Callithrix jacchus: one gene and its partners. The protein of the gene in region 3 interacts with the protein of the main gene of each other region in a pairwise test. Links are inferred from orthologs where the notes say so. Each region holds a gene or a part of one and is shown on either strand. Other genes may lie near its edges.

The links. The genes of interacting proteins can lie anywhere in the genome.
Region 1: the proteins of BFSP2 (region 3) and USHBP1 interact in binary tests that used the Homo sapiens proteins (3 or more experiments, as listed by UniProt). The two-hybrid records come from large-scale screens. The link is inferred for Callithrix jacchus from reciprocal best matches to the Homo sapiens genes BFSP2 and USHBP1.
Region 2: the proteins of BFSP2 (region 3) and SYCE1 interact in binary tests that used the Homo sapiens proteins (3 or more experiments, as listed by UniProt). The two-hybrid records come from large-scale screens. The link is inferred for Callithrix jacchus from reciprocal best matches to the Homo sapiens genes BFSP2 and SYCE1.

The regions. Positions count from the first base shown.
Region 1 is NC_133523.1:15,853,932-15,858,559, forward strand, and holds part of USHBP1 (harmonin-binding protein USHBP1), read right to left. Parts: intron 3,580-4,628; coding exon 3,333-3,579; intron 2,472-3,332; coding exon 2,250-2,471; intron 1-2,249.
Region 2 is NC_133513.1:126,881,219-126,885,873, forward strand, and holds part of SYCE1 (synaptonemal complex central element protein 1), read right to left. Parts: intron 4,088-4,655; coding exon 4,028-4,087; intron 3,662-4,027; coding exon 3,587-3,661; intron 2,928-3,586; coding exon 2,880-2,927; intron 2,642-2,879; coding exon 2,587-2,641; intron 1,886-2,586; coding exon 1,796-1,885; intron 1,551-1,795; coding exon 1,487-1,550; intron 761-1,486; coding exon 694-760; intron 619-693; coding exon 495-618; intron 425-494; coding exon 314-424; intron 164-313; coding exon 59-163; intron 5-58; coding exon 1-4. UniProt on the Homo sapiens protein: Major component of the transverse central element of synaptonemal complexes (SCS), formed between homologous chromosomes during meiotic prophase. Requires SYCP1 in order to be incorporated into the central element.
Region 3 is NC_133518.1:50,728,549-50,733,988, forward strand, and holds the start of BFSP2 (phakinin), read right to left. Parts: upstream 3,129-5,440; 5' UTR 3,119-3,128; coding exon 2,630-3,118; intron 1-2,629.

The DNA of each region.
Region 1 (4,628 bases), on a different chromosome or scaffold from region 3:
CCAACATGGTGAAACCCTGTCTCCACTAAAAATACAAAAATTAGCCAGACATGGTGGCTGGTGCCTGTAGTCCCAACTACTTGGGCAGCTGAGAGGCAAGAGAATCACTTGAACCTGGGGGGTGGAGGTTGCAGTGAGCTGGTATCACACCACTGCACTCCAGCCTAGGTGACAAGAGCAAAACTCCATCTCAAAAAAAAAAAAGAGATGATCTTGCTCTGTGGTCCAGGCTGGAGTTAAATGACATAATTGTGGCTCACTGAAGCCTCCAACTCCCAAGTGATCCTCCCACCTCAGCCTCCCAAAGTGCTGGGATTATAGTCGTGAGCCACCGCGCCCAGCCCTGATAAAGGAGATAAATTAACAGGGGACTTGGATGAGGCTGATGTCCAGGAGGACTTCCTCGAGGAGTTGATGTCTAAGCTGAGATCTACAGGAGGTCAAGGACTTTATGACACAAAGAGGGAAGTGACTGATGTTCCTGGCAGGGGCACGGAATGTACAAAGGCTTGGGGGTGGGAGAGATGATTTCAAGAGCTGCATTAAGGCCAGGCACACTGACTCATGCCTGTAATCCCAGCACTTTGGGAGGCCGAGGCAGGCAGAACATGTGAGACCAGGAGCTCGAGACCAGCCTGGCCAACATGGTGAAACCCCATCTCTACAAAGAATACAAAAATTAGCTAGATGTGGTGGTGCATGCCTGTAATCCCAGCTACTCAGGAGGCTGAGGCAGGAGGATTGCTTGAACCCAGGAGGCAGAGGTTGCAGTGAGCCAAGATCGCACCATTGCACTCCAGCCTGGGCAACAGAGCAAGACTCCATCTCAGGGAAAAAAAAAAAAAAAAGCGTGGACTCTGAGGATTCTTGAAGCCACTCTTTAAGCAGAGAACAAACATGTTCAGAAGTGGAAAAAAGAAAGGCTTCAGGGAAGAGGCTGGTACCAAAATCTAGGAGGTGAGGTACAGACTGGGGCAATTGCCAGGGGGAGAGGACGGACTAGGGACAGACCTTCGGTGGGAAGGAGGAGACGCACTTGTGAGTGGAAGATGCTGTACCCTTTCGGGCTTATTGGGCTCATACTCTCACAGAAAGAAACCCTTTGGCTGGACATGATGGTTCATGTCTGTAATCCCAGCATTTTGGGAGGATCACTTGAGACCCAGTATTCGAGGCTGTGGTGAGTTATAATCACACCACTGCACTCCAGCTTGGTGACAGAGCAAGACCCTAACTCGAAAGACAGAGAGAGAGAGAGAGAGAGAGAGAGAGAAAGGAAAGAAGGAAAGAAAGAAAAAGAAGGAAGGAAGGAAAGAAAGAGAAAGAAAGAAAAGAGAGAGAGAGAGAGAGAGAAAAATGGGCATGTGGCTCACGCCTGTAATCCCAGCACTTTGGGAGGCCAAGGTGGGCGGATCATCTGAGGTCAGGAGTTTGAGATCAGCCTCACCAACATGGAGAAAACCATCTTTACTAAAAATACAAAATTAGCTGGGTGTGGTGGTGCACGCCTGTAATCCCAGCTACTCGGGAGGCTGAGGCAGGAGAATCACTTGAACCTGGGAGGCGGAGGTTGCAGTGAGCTGAGATCGTGCCATTGCACTTATTTCAGCCTGGGCAACAGAGCGAAACTCCGTTTCAAAAAAAAGGAAAGAGGCTGGGTGTGGTGGCTTATCCCTGCAATCTGGGTGCTTAGAGAGGCAGAGGTGGGAGGATCACTTGGGCCCAGGAGTTTGAGATCTGCCTGGGTGACACAGAGAGACTCAGAAGGAAGGAAGGCAGGGAGGGAGGAAAACCTCATAGCACAGGTGTGAGTTTGACATAAAGCTTAATCATGCGACTTGCTTCTTGGTGCAGAAGTGGAAACTGAGGCTCAGAAAGGGCTGTGATAAGGCCAGGTGTAGTGGCTCACGTCTATAATGCCAGCACTTTGGGAGGCCAAGGCAGTCAAGAGTTTGGGACCAGCCTGATCAACATGGCGAAACCCCATCTCTACTAAAAACACAAAAATTAGCTGGACGTCGTGGCGTGTGCCTGTAGTCCCAGCTACTTAGGAGGTTGAGGCAGAAGAATCACTTGAACTGGGGAGGCAGAGGTTGCAGTGAGCCAAGACCATGCCACTGTACTCCAGCCTGGGCGACAGAGCAAGACTCTGCCTCAAAAAAAAAAACAAAAAAAAAAACCACAACTGCAATTGACCAGGGCTATGTTCCTGTTAGCAGCTACTGCCGGGTTCAGGCAGGGCAGCTCACCTGGTACCACCCCTCCTCGCCCCCGCTGCTGTCACCTCCACTGCTGTCTCCACCACTGCTGTTTGCCCCACCAGCCCGGAGCTCTGCCCATTCCCAGCGCAGCTGCTCCAGCAGAAGCGCGTGAGCTGGGCCCAGGGCTCGGAGGGCGGCCTCTCGAAGCTCTAGGCCCCGCTTCTCACGTCGCACCAGCTGCAGCCGAAGCATCAGGTCCGCCAGGGTCTCCTGCGGGACCAAGGGGAGGACAGAGAATTTATGCTTCTGGGGTCAACTGCAAGGAAACTGAGGCCCCAAGAGGCACCCACTGAGGACTAATCAGGCAAAAACTGTAGCCTTTGGCCAGGTGCGGTGGCTCACACCTGTAATCCCAGCACTTTGGGAGGGCGAGGTGGGTGGATCACCTGAGGTCAGGAGTTCGAGACCAGCCTGGCCAACATGGTGAAACCCCATCTCTACTGAATATACAAAAATTAGCCAGGTGTGGTGGTGCGAGCCTGTAATCCCAGCTACCCAGGAGGCTGAGGCAGGAGAATCACTTGAACTCGGTGGGGTGGGGGGATGTCGGAGGCTGCAGTGAGCCGAGATAGCACCATTGCACTCCAGCCAGGGCGAGAGCAAGACTCTGTCTCAAAAAAGAACAAACAAAAAACTGGGACCTTTCGCATGTTCTTGTGAGGTAGAAATATATTCCTCCTATAAAAGCTACAGCTGGAGAAATGGCATTTTCTAGAGGTGAGTAGCTTATATAGGTCAAATAGCAATTATGTCAAAGTTTCTAGGTCTCTCCAACTCCAGAACCTCCAGTTTTCATGCCAAGCTCCAAACCCAAGATTGTGTTCTTTGCTCCCATCTCTTTCCATAGGAAGGCCATTTTGGAGAAGCAGATTTGCAGTCTAATGAGAAACTGAACCCCAGAAGACAAACTCCTATTCATCCTTCAAAACCCCACCTCCAATTCTCCCTCACAATGCCTGCACCCAGTCCAGCAGAATTTTCCTTTGCTCCTTGGCCCCCCAACCACAGGACCTCAGTAAAGGATTTTGTCCCACCAGGAGAGACTGACACAGTGGCCACAGCCCTTTGTACCCTTGTGGCCAACAGATCCTGTTGAATTTGTGTCTTCTCCAGCCGGGGCAGAGCTGGGCCAGGCTGGGTCCCCAGAATGGCCTGCACCATGACTTCTGCACGGGGCAGAGTGGGGATGGGTGCCAAGGTGGGGCCAGGCTCTGAGAGAATCTTCACTTGAGCACAACGCTCCTGGAGACGCTGGACATAGCTTCGGAGCTGGAAAGCCACTTCCTCTGTGGGCTTATCCACACTGCTGCCCTCAGGGCTACAGAAAACAGAAGAGGTGCCTGTGTCAACACTGGCAATTGTAAGTGGGCTAATGTCATGCCAACCCTGGTAGGGTCCATCATCTTCCACCTCACTGGCCACAATGGAGCCTCCATCATCTGTGGTGGCCCCTGTCACACTGACATGGTGGGCACCATAATATGAACCCCACTCGGCACCGCCTTCCATCAGGGTCACATGTGGTCAGGTGCAGTGACGCAGGCGTGTAACCCCAGCACTTTGGGAGGCTGAGGCGGGAGGACTGCTTGAAGCCAGAAGTTTGAGACCAGCCTACGCAACAGAGTGAGAATCCATCTTGATAAAAAATTAGCTGGTCTTCAGTGAGGATGTGTGTTAATAAAAATAAAAAAATAGCTGGACATGGTGTTACATACCTGCAGTCTCAGCTACTTGAGGGGCGGAAAGCAGGAGACTGAATGAGACCAGGAGTTTGAGGCTGCAGTGAGCTATGATGGCACCACTGTATTGCAGCCTGGGTGACAGAGCAAGACCCTGTCTCCAACAAAATGTTAAAAAGAAACAAGCAGGCCGGGCGCGGCGGCTCATGCCTATAAGCACTTTGGGAGGCCGAGGCAGGTGGATCACAAGGTTAAGAGATCGAGACCATTCTGGCCAACAAGGTGAAACCCCGTCTCTATTAAAAATACAAAAATTAGCTGGGCATGGTGGCACGTGCCTGTAATCCCAGCTACTCAGGAGGCTGAGGCAGGAGAATTGCCTGAACCCAGGAGGCGGAGGTTGCGGTGAGCCGAGACCGCACCATTGCACTCCAGCCTGGGTAACAAGAGCGAAACTCCGTCTCAAAAAAGAAACAAGCAAACAAAAAAGAACGTGGTGAGCCGGGCACGGTGGCTCACGCCTGTAATCTCAGCGCTTTGGGAGGCCGAGGCGGGTGGATCACCTGAGGTCAGGAGTTCGAGACCAGCCTGGACAACATGGCGAAACACTGTCTCTACTAAAAATCCAAAAATCAGGCAGGCGTGGTGGCAGGCGCCTGCAATCCCAGCTACTTGGGAGGTTGAGGCA
Region 2 (4,655 bases), on a different chromosome or scaffold from region 3:
CTTCCTTGTCCTCCTGCCCTTCCCCATCCCTTCAGTAGCTGTCTCTGTTCCCTGCCACCCAGGTCTGGGGCTTACCACATCTCCTGGGCCAGCCTCTTCCTCTTGTGTGCTCTGGGCTTGGGCAGGGACCTGTGTTCCATGCTTTTCTAGCTCCTCCTTCAGCCTGGACAGGAAGAGGTAGGATGGGGGAAGGAAGAAAAGGAAAGGGGGACAAGAGATTTTCAAGAGTCAGAGAAATAGAAGGTTGAGGGAGGAGAAACGACATTGGTCACTTTCCTGGTGGGGGTTGAGGGGACAGGGCCTCCACACACACCTCTGCCGCTTCTGCTGCAGTTGCTGGCACTTTTGCTGCAGCTGCTGGTGGTGCTGGGCTGCAGCTGCTAGGAGCTCCTCAGCCTTCATGTGCTCTTCCTGAAACAGCTGCCTGGGGTGCCAAGGAGGGGGTGGTTAGCACTGGCCACTCCCTCCTCCCCCCCTTCACCTCCACATCTTACACTGTGGCTGCTGCCTCCTGGCTACGGAGAAAGAGCCCCTCATCAAGGGTGGAGGCGCCCTCAGCACCACACAGGGAGCACAGCTGTTGCTTCACATCTTCCAGCTTTGCCTCGACCAGCTTCTCTGCAGCACAAAGGGACAGGTGAGCACATGAGGGTATGTGAGGTCAGAAGGGCCATCCACCTTCCCTGGCCTCACCTTCCTTGAGCAGCTGCTCCTTGCTGCTGTCCAGGGTGCAGATCTCTCTTGCTAGCTGCTCCGGCTTCTGGGGCGGGCAGAAAAGAGGTCTGTCCACACCTCTTGGCTTTCTCCCATGCCTCGAAGAAGGCTTTCTGGATCTTGTTTTGTACTTGCTCACCATGCCTCACTTCCAACAACTCTGCCTCTCTGTGCATACTAGCCACAGAAAACCTCAGGCCCATGGCACTGGTCATTCCCTCCCTGTGCACTCTGTCATCCTACATCCCTGGAGAGCTGCAGTGGGGAGGCTCATGGATTGTTATTTACAACAGATAAACCTGCAAACACTATGAGTCTTTGCTGTTTTCTGTAGGATCAGGTACCAGTTCGGCTCTGCAGCTCCTCCCCACGCCCCTCCATCCTGCTGGGGCCTCGTCACTGAGCCCTTCCCTTCTAACACTCACTGTCTATTTTCTTGTTCAGTGCCTGGGATCCTCCTGGGGGGCAAACACTGGCTGCTTATCCTCACTGTCTCCCTTGTGACCGTGATGGTCCCAGACATATCCATGGACATTGATGGAAGACTTGACCTTAGTTTGATCAGAGATCCCCCTGACCACTGAGTGGACCCTGGAGGGTAGCAGGGCCATGAGGGTGGTGACAAGGGACTGGATCCGGGCAATGTTGGTCTTAGCACCACCAGGGCTTGTTCAGGGACTGGATGTGGCAGGTGAGAGGAAGCAGTGACCCTTTGGGCCTGGTACTGCTAGGGAAGATGTGGAAGTGGGAGAAGTGGCTTTGAGGGACTCACGTGGAAGTCCCAGAGGTCCTTGTGTTGGCCCATCAGATCTTCCAGCTGTTCCTCGAAAGCCAACCTGGGGGCCAACCACAGGCATGAAGGGATATGGGCTGAGATCATCACCTTTGCAGCCTGTCCACGTCTGTGGGTCTTCTGGCACAGACCTTGGGGTGCTTTGCCCATGGCCTTGCTCCACTGGGAGCATCTTCACCATCCTAACCCTCCAAGGCTCAGTGTAGCCAGCTCTTCTAACCCCCATCTTTTATATTATACCCTGACTACCAGGCATCCAAATCCCCTGCCTCAGGTGCTAAGGTTTACCTCAGCTGTCTCTGTTTTTTCTTCTCTTCTTCGATCTGTACATTCAGAGCAGAAATTCTCTCTTTGCACTCCTGCAACATGGTATGCTTCCTGGGAGAGGCAAGGCAGTCCTCAGCCATGTTCTCTTAAGCCCCAGGAGGGTTCTTGGCTGGGGCTTCTGCCTCCCTCTATTGAGGCTATTTTTTCCCTCCTACATTAAGGTCCTTCTCTGTAACATGTGATGGGTAGGGAGTAATGTGAGCATTTGCCCCCTGTAAGTACTGTTGTCAGGTTAAGAGAGATCAGTGCAGACATGGTCAAGTGAGCAAATGCACACACATATCATCTGGTTTCCCCAAAGAGCTGAAAACTCAGTGTGCCAGGGCCTGGGGCCTCTGGTAAGAAAATAAGCTAAATAAGCATTCAGGAAGTGGAGAAATGGATGGACAAATAATTGGGTGGATAAAAAGATAATGGATGGAGAGACAATGGACAAGTGGTTGGTTCAATGCCTAAATGAACAGATGAGTGAATAGACAGCCAAGGAGTATGACAAAGAGTAAAAGGAAAAGAACAAAAACCAGCTGAAGAAATTTAATTAATAATTTGGCAATTGAGTGTCTATACCATTGAGAGAGTTACCCTTAACACCACTGCCTGCTGTTGGAGCCGAGGGGGAAAGACTTTTTGGACACTCCATTGTTTAGAGGGACAGAATGAGAGCTGTGGGCCTTACACTCATCTTCCTGCCTCTTTCTGCTCTACCAGAATAAAGAGGTGGGGCAGAGTTAGGCTCAGCTGGAAGCTCTTACCTCTGTGCCTCACTTTCCTTCTCCTGGCAGTACAGCCGGAGGTTCCTCAGGGTCTCTACAGGGAGAGCAACAGGGCCCTATGAGAAGCTGTCAGGGTACTGGGTTGTGGTAGGGGGAATGGGGCCAGATCACATCAGGTCTATGGACACCTGATTGAGCTTTAAAATTTACTGCAAGTCTGGTGGAAGCTACAGGAGAGAGGCAAGCTTTAAAAGGCTTCAGCTGCCATAGGGAGAGTGGGCTTCTGTGGGGTGGCAAAGGCATAAGCCTGGAGAGAGGGGAGCTGCAGATACCTTGCTTTTTGCTCAAGATCTCCTTCAGGCGTACTTTCTCTCCATGCACTGGAAAACAGTGATGTATTTTGGGCATCAGGGACTATGCACTGTATCCTCAGGGATGGAGCTTGCTCACAGTCACATGGGAAGTTGGGCACAGCCTTGCCCCCAACCCAAATGTGAACCCCTCAAGGTGAGCCCCTCCCTATCCTCTGGTGCCCACATTCCCTGTAAGTACCAAAGGGCCTTCACATTTACAGAGGGTTGCTGTGAGGGCCCTGCAGGATGCCCATGCTTTTACGTGGGGAGGAGAAAAAATACAAACACCCATGAAGTGAGATTAAGGGCTATGAAGAAACACATCGAATAGGGAGGGGCACATGACCAGATGGAGGCAGGGCGCCATCTCTAGATGGGATGTCTGGGGAATGCCAGTCATCTTCTCTGGGGACATTCTAACTCAGAGCTGATGACATGAGGAAAGAGGAACCTGTATTATCCATGGAAGTACAGGCAGCACCTGGCAAAAGCCCTGAGGTGGGAGTAAGGTTGGAGGGTGCTTCCTGAACACTATCACAAGCAGAGGAGAGGGGGAGATTGGCAGGACATGAGGCAGGAGAGGGCACAGGACCCTTGGCCACAGCAAGGATGCTGATCATCTGGAATACAGGGTTAGGGGAGGCTTCAGACACTGTGGGGACCTCTGGGTGACCCGACTCCCTTACGCGAGTCCAGTTCCTTCTGCAGGGCTTCAGAGATGGTCCGGGCCTCTCCTACGTCTTCATTGACCTTCTTTTTTGCTTCATCAAAGATCGGAAAGACATTGAATGAGTGCAGCCTCCAGCTGCACAATTCTCTTGCCAACAGTGACATTTCTCATTTGCCTTCAGGTAACCCTACAGTCGCCTAGATTTTATAGAGTAGGAAACGAGGCTTCCAGAGTGCAGGCTTTTCTTGCCAGGCTCTGCTGATAGCAGGGCCAGGATCATGGGCATATGACTATGGCAGCTGCATGCAGAAATGTCCTGTACTTAATTTAAGGCTCTGCTGTTGCTGTTGTGAACAGCCAGTAACTTTGGACAAGGGACCCTGCACTCCTCATTTGGCACTGAGCCCCACAAACCATGTAGCTGGTCCTAGCTGGCAGCCAAGGCCCCTGAACTCACCTTGCTGGATCTCATTAATCCGGTTAATCAGGACCTCAACTTGGGGCTCTAGGCTTCCCACTGCAGGGAGAAAGGGGGTTTAGTTGACAGAGCAGGCAGAGGTGGGTGGCTGCCAGCCTTGTGTCTCTGCTGCTTTCATGCAACACAGATCTACTGAGTACCTACTGCAAGCAGGTGCTGTGTGGGGCCCTCACAGGGCTCATGTTGTGGGTGGGTGAGACTGGGAATAGACACAATGAGATACCGAGTGGGGCTGTGGTAACTCTGTTTAAGAGAAAAAAAGTAGGGCAAGGGGGGTTAACGAGCAAAGAGGTGGGAAGTGCTCCTCATATATGAGAAGGTGTCATGACAGCCCCAGATCAAGTATCAGGGGGCAGGCCCTGAAGCTCTTTGGGTGGGGGTGGGAGGCAGTCAGTGCAAAGACCCACCCTGAGGTGGGAACATGGCTGGCAGGAGCCTAGTGAACAAAAAGGGAGTAGCAAGAAGTTTGGGACAAGGTTTTTGGAAAATATTTTGCCTTCTATACCCCTTTCCTTCTTTAGTTTTGAATCATGGAGCCCTATTTTTAGTTTAAGTAATTAAATTGTAAAAGAAAGAAAAGGTGAAGAGGATTATTTCCTGAGTTTGT
Region 3 (5,440 bases):
GGACCACTGGATTTCTGGAGCCCAGGACCACAGAGTGGCTGCCTCTGACCCCCAAGAGAGGTGAAGGCAGTACTTTGTGAAAGGCCTGGGCTGGAAGGTGGCCTTTAGGAAAAAAAAAGGAGGTGGGGGCCCGGGTGGGGGCCTCCTGCAGCTCCGCGAGGACAGATTGATGGAAAAAATCATGAGTATTTCTCAATTACGAAGGGTTTTTTTGTTCTTCTTGATGGAATAGAGCTTAATATGGCTGAAAGCCTGGGCTGTGCAATATAGAAATAGTAACTCCGGCCATGCGCGGTGGCTCACACCTGTAATCCCAGCACCTTGGAAGGCAGAGGGGGCAGATCACCTGAGGTCAGGAGTTTGAGACCAGCCTGGCCAACACGGTGAAACCCCGTCTCCATTAAAAATACAAAAATATTAGCCAGGCATGGTGGCAGGCCCCTGTAATCCCAGCTACTTGGGGCTGAGGCAGCAGAATTGCTTGAACCCAAGAGGCAGAGGTTGCAGTGAGCCAAGATCATGCCATTGCACTCCAGCCTGGGTGACAGAAGGAGACTCCATCTCAAAAAAAAAAAAAGAAATAATAACTCCATTTTATTGATTGTTCTGACTCTATCTTCAAGTCCATGTTTTTTTAAAAAAAGAAGAAAAAAGAGACCATTTCTCATACCCAAGATCTCGTTTATAGTCACTTAAGAGGAAAGGGAGCCATGTGGGAGCCTGATCCTCAGTGACAGAGGGTGCGTGTCTTGGCGCATGGCTGTGCTGCTCTCACAGGATTTTAGAGCTTCCTAGTCTGTACTCTGCTTGTAGGCAGGAGCCAGGCATCTTATTTATCTATGGATTTGCTAGAATATCCAAGCATGATTACACCCATTTGTAGATAATGAAACTGAGGCCCAGAGAAGTCAGTAAGTTGCAACAGCCCTTGTAGCTCTCTGGAGCCAGAGCAAGTCAGTATCTATAGAGTATAAACTAAGTTTTTGTGGCCCTACTTTTTGACCTAGAAATCGGGACACCTGGTTTCTCCTGACAAGTCTGTCTGGCACCTGAGTGCAAGCGATTGTCCAGCAGATGCTGACATAGTAGAGTATCCAGGGATGTTCTGGTGGTTGTTAGGGCACAATGTTTGGAAACAGGACAGTTGTGAAGAATCCTGGAGGAATGGCTGCCTCTTTGATTTGACAGGCGTTCAGGGCCTGGACTGTTCAAAGATGGAGCAGCCCAGATGGAGGCAAGCGGAACAGCAGCACCGGGGGAGAGCCTGAGAGGACAGTGCTGTTTATCATGTGCTCTGTGCTGTCAGTGAGCACTGACAGCATTGCAGGAGAAGCATCCTGGGATGAAGCAGGAGGCAGGAGGGGCAAATGGGGAGTCCCTGTGTGCACCTGCTCAGCATCCCCCCAGCTACACACAAATAACATTTTGTGACCTCCTCTTGGGAGGCTGCATGCTGGACTCTAGGGGCCAAGGGTCTGAGTTGGTAGTCCCTGGTGGGTTAGAGACTGATTTTGCTCAGAGGGATCCCAAGGCCAGCATCTGGAGAGAAAGGGGAGGAGAGAAGCCAGCCATCCACAGAGAGACCAGCTGAGAAGTATAATGCTGGCTGGAGTCCCAGCATTAGAACCACAGGCTGCAGGCCAGACATGATGGATGAGCTCCAGGCTCTGCAGAAATCACCCTGGAGAGTGGGAAAAGCAGGGCTGACCAAGCAGGGGAGAAAGATTAAACCTGGGCATCCTTCCCTGTCCAGTAAGATAGCCATTAGCTACCTGTGGCTATTTACATTTAAATTAATGAAAATTAGATAAAATAAAAATACAATTCCTCAGTCTCAGCCACATTTCAAGTGCTTGATAGCCATATATGGCTAGTGGCTGCCAGATTGGACAGTGCAGATATAAGATATTAATATTTCCATCATGCAGAAAGTTCTACTTGAATGTAAATTATTTCATTAATATATTTTGTATTGATTACATGTTGAAATAACATTCTGGACATATGGAGTTAAATAGGCTATAATATTAACTTCACCTGTTTCTTTTTACTTGTTTTACCGTGGGCAATAGAAGCTTGTCAATTACCGATGTACCGATTTCTATTGAACAGCGTGGTTGCAGGTGGATACAGGAACACGCCTCCATTTATTCATTGTTTTTAATACCATGTCCATCTGATGGTATTTGATTGGATAATGGCTGTAAAAATCCTTTCTCAACAGTAAAGGTCGCTGAGGCAGCCCAGGGTAATTGGGCAAATGTGACTTTGGAGACACAAAAATTCAGGTTCACATCTCATCTCCATCCCTCCTCTAGCTTTGAAGTCTTGGGCAAATTACATGCCTCAGTTTCTCATCTCAAAAATGTAATCAATGAATGATCCACTGCATATCATTTATTTGAAGGGTACAGAAGATAGTGAATAGTACACGTACGGGGCTAGCATGGGCTCCTAGTAAACCTCGGTAAAAAGTGGCATTGTTGTTATGATTAGCATTTTAAGTGTGAAAGTGTAGGGGTTATGGTCAGTTTTTCTGGCCTGAGAAAGACCAGAAAAACCCTACCCCCTGCCTTCAGCAGCCCCTCCCAGCCTTCTGCAAAGCCCTTGGCACAGCCTGGACACTTACCTGCTGGCAGCTGCTGGCCCAGGAGGCCCGAAGGGCACCCCAGTTTCCCGAGCGCGTGGCCTTGCTCTCCAGGTGCATCCGAAGTTGTGTTTCCAGTTCCTGACTGACTTGCTCAAGGGCATGCACTTTGGCCATATATTCCACCAGGCAGCCCCCTAGGTCCTCAACAGCACCATGGTCCCGCTCCAAACCTGGAGCCGGCATTGTGGCCAGGCCTGAGCTCCGCAGGCCCTGAAGGAAGACACTGCTGATGCCGAGGGCCCGGCGGGTCACACGGGCACCCAGGCCACCTATGCACCCACTGGGTGCTGTTCCTACATAGACCCCAGGTACTCGGATAAGGCCACTCATGGCATTGGTCCTGGAGGCTGGGGGGCTATCCAGGGAGGATGATGACCGCGGCCCCCTGAAGGATGCCCTGTGCCTCTGCAGGGGCATGCTGGAGCTGGCACTGGTGGGCAAGTCCACTACTACTTGCCTCTCACTCATCACCCCTTCTGCCTCTGTGGTGCCCAAGTGGGTTTACAGAGTCCAGTGGCTGTTGGTTTACAGCCCCAGCATCCCTGTGGCCTGGTCACGGGCCTCTCTGGAATCTCCCCTATCCCCGGGGCTGCTTTGTCTGCTGTCTTCCATGAGTTTCCATCATTCACTGAGCTGAAAGAGAAATGGGCACTGGCCAGGGCTGCGTGCAGAGAGGCACTCATGCATTCTTTGATGTAGGGTCATGTGCCCAACCTCCCAGATTTTTCTGCTGGTGGTGGGGGAGGCTGGATCAGTGCAGGCTGTGGGGATAGATCATCTGGGTTCGTGCACTTTATTACCTAAGAGTGGGCAAGGCAGGCATCAAGCAACCCCATTCTACAGACGAATAAACTGAGGCTCAATGACCTCAGATCACAAGTGATCACTTGTCCCAGAGCTCACATTACAAGCTAGGACTCAATCCAGCTATTTCAGGGCTAATTTCAGTGGTTTCTACATCCCTATGTGTGCTGGCACATGTGAATGTGAACACATGTCCACACAAGAAGTAGAGGACGAAAAACGGCAGGACGCAGCCCCAGGGACCCAAGAGAAAAGCCCCTGCTTGTGGTTTCCTTCCCCCTCTCTCAGTCCTGGCAGCAGCTTCAGGTCCTTCCCTTGCCTCTCTCCTTCCTTCGTCATCTCTGTCCTCAGATTCTCTGTTCATCAGCTGCTTGTTGTTGGCCAGGATACTTCCTCCCTCTGGACCTCACTTTCTGAACATCAGCCTGAGCCTCTAACTCTCTGATGTGCCAGATAAGGACCTTGGGCAAATTCAGGCCCCACACATTATGTTCTGGCCATTCTCTCCACCTCTGCTTCTCTATCTGTTGGAAAACTGATACATAAAAACGACAAAGAGAGCATTTTCTGGCAAGCTCTCCAAGGGTGCTTCAAGTTAGGTATGAGGACACCCCTGGGTTTTAACTTTTGATCTTGGCATCCACTAAGCCATCAAGGGTCACACCTCAATCAGTTCTCTAGGATCAGAAAGGTTCCTCAAGTTCCAGGATGACAACACGGGCCTAAAAATCTCTGTATTTAAGTTTTAGCCTGGAGAAATCAGGTCACCAAACCCCAGAGCTGGATATTTTTCGAGATGCTGTAATGTAGGAACGTACCTCAGGTGAGAGAAGGAGAAGGGAGCCAACCTCTAGTGAGTGCCAAATCCAGCCTGCTGTGTGCATGAATCCTGTAGTTTACTTCATGGAATTCTCAACCCAGCCTTAGAAGGAAGGAGGTCCAGGGTTGACAAGTGCTGCCTACGGGCTGTGCACCTCACAGCTCCAAAGTACCATATCACGTGTCCTACGGTTGGCCACTATTTTCTTACGTGAGGAGGACCCTGAGAGCTGCAATGACTGGTCCAAGGTCCCAGGTCCAGAAGGTAGAGCTGGGGGGAGACAGCCTCTTCCAACCTCTGGGCCAGTGACTTACTTAGGAGCCTCCATGGTGCCCACCACCCAGAGAGCACAAAGTCACACAGGTAAAGTTAAAAACCTGGTCTACTACTAGAAGATCTGTGTGTACTTGCTTCCTGCTGACCAGGATGCTCCAACCCTTCCTTTCTTTATTGTCTTTCACTTTGTCCATTTGACATGGCCTAGGCGGTATTTTATAAATATCGATGTTGGCTATTTGATGAACAGATGAAAGAACCAATTGGATTAAGTAAAAGCCAGTAGTGTCCTTGTTTATTCAGATATAGCATTAATGCTGTGAACACCAGCCCTGAGACACCCAGAAGGGGCATGAGAGGCTGTGTTAAAGTAACAGCCTCCTGTGCAGGTGACGCTGACTTGGTTCTGAGGATCTGCGTTATTGTGAATTCCAAGATGTATTGTCCAAGGCTGAATGAGAGGTTCAAGCTACTGATTTAAGTTATGCACAAATATGTCATGTTTAGGCATTGTTATTCTCCACAGAACGATAACACTCAATGGCCAGGTTAACTTCAGACATCTCTGGGCCAAAGATATTTACTATATAAATCCACTCAGCCCTGGAGATGGGGAGAATGGTGGGGGGATGTACTTTAATTGACACTGCTGTCTCCAAAGACCTGATGAAAGATGACTCTCGTTTGGAGAAATTGCAAACATGTTCAAAAAGATTTATTTTATCAAATGCTAAACTGCTAATCCTATTAGCTCATCATGTACATAAAACTCACCTGTTAAATCAGATTAAAAAATACGGATGGATGTAAAGTGGCATTGGTACTGCTTAAGGAAGACTTAGAAGTTATCTTAAAATGAAAAGAATGCAAAATGCATTAGCAACGGAATC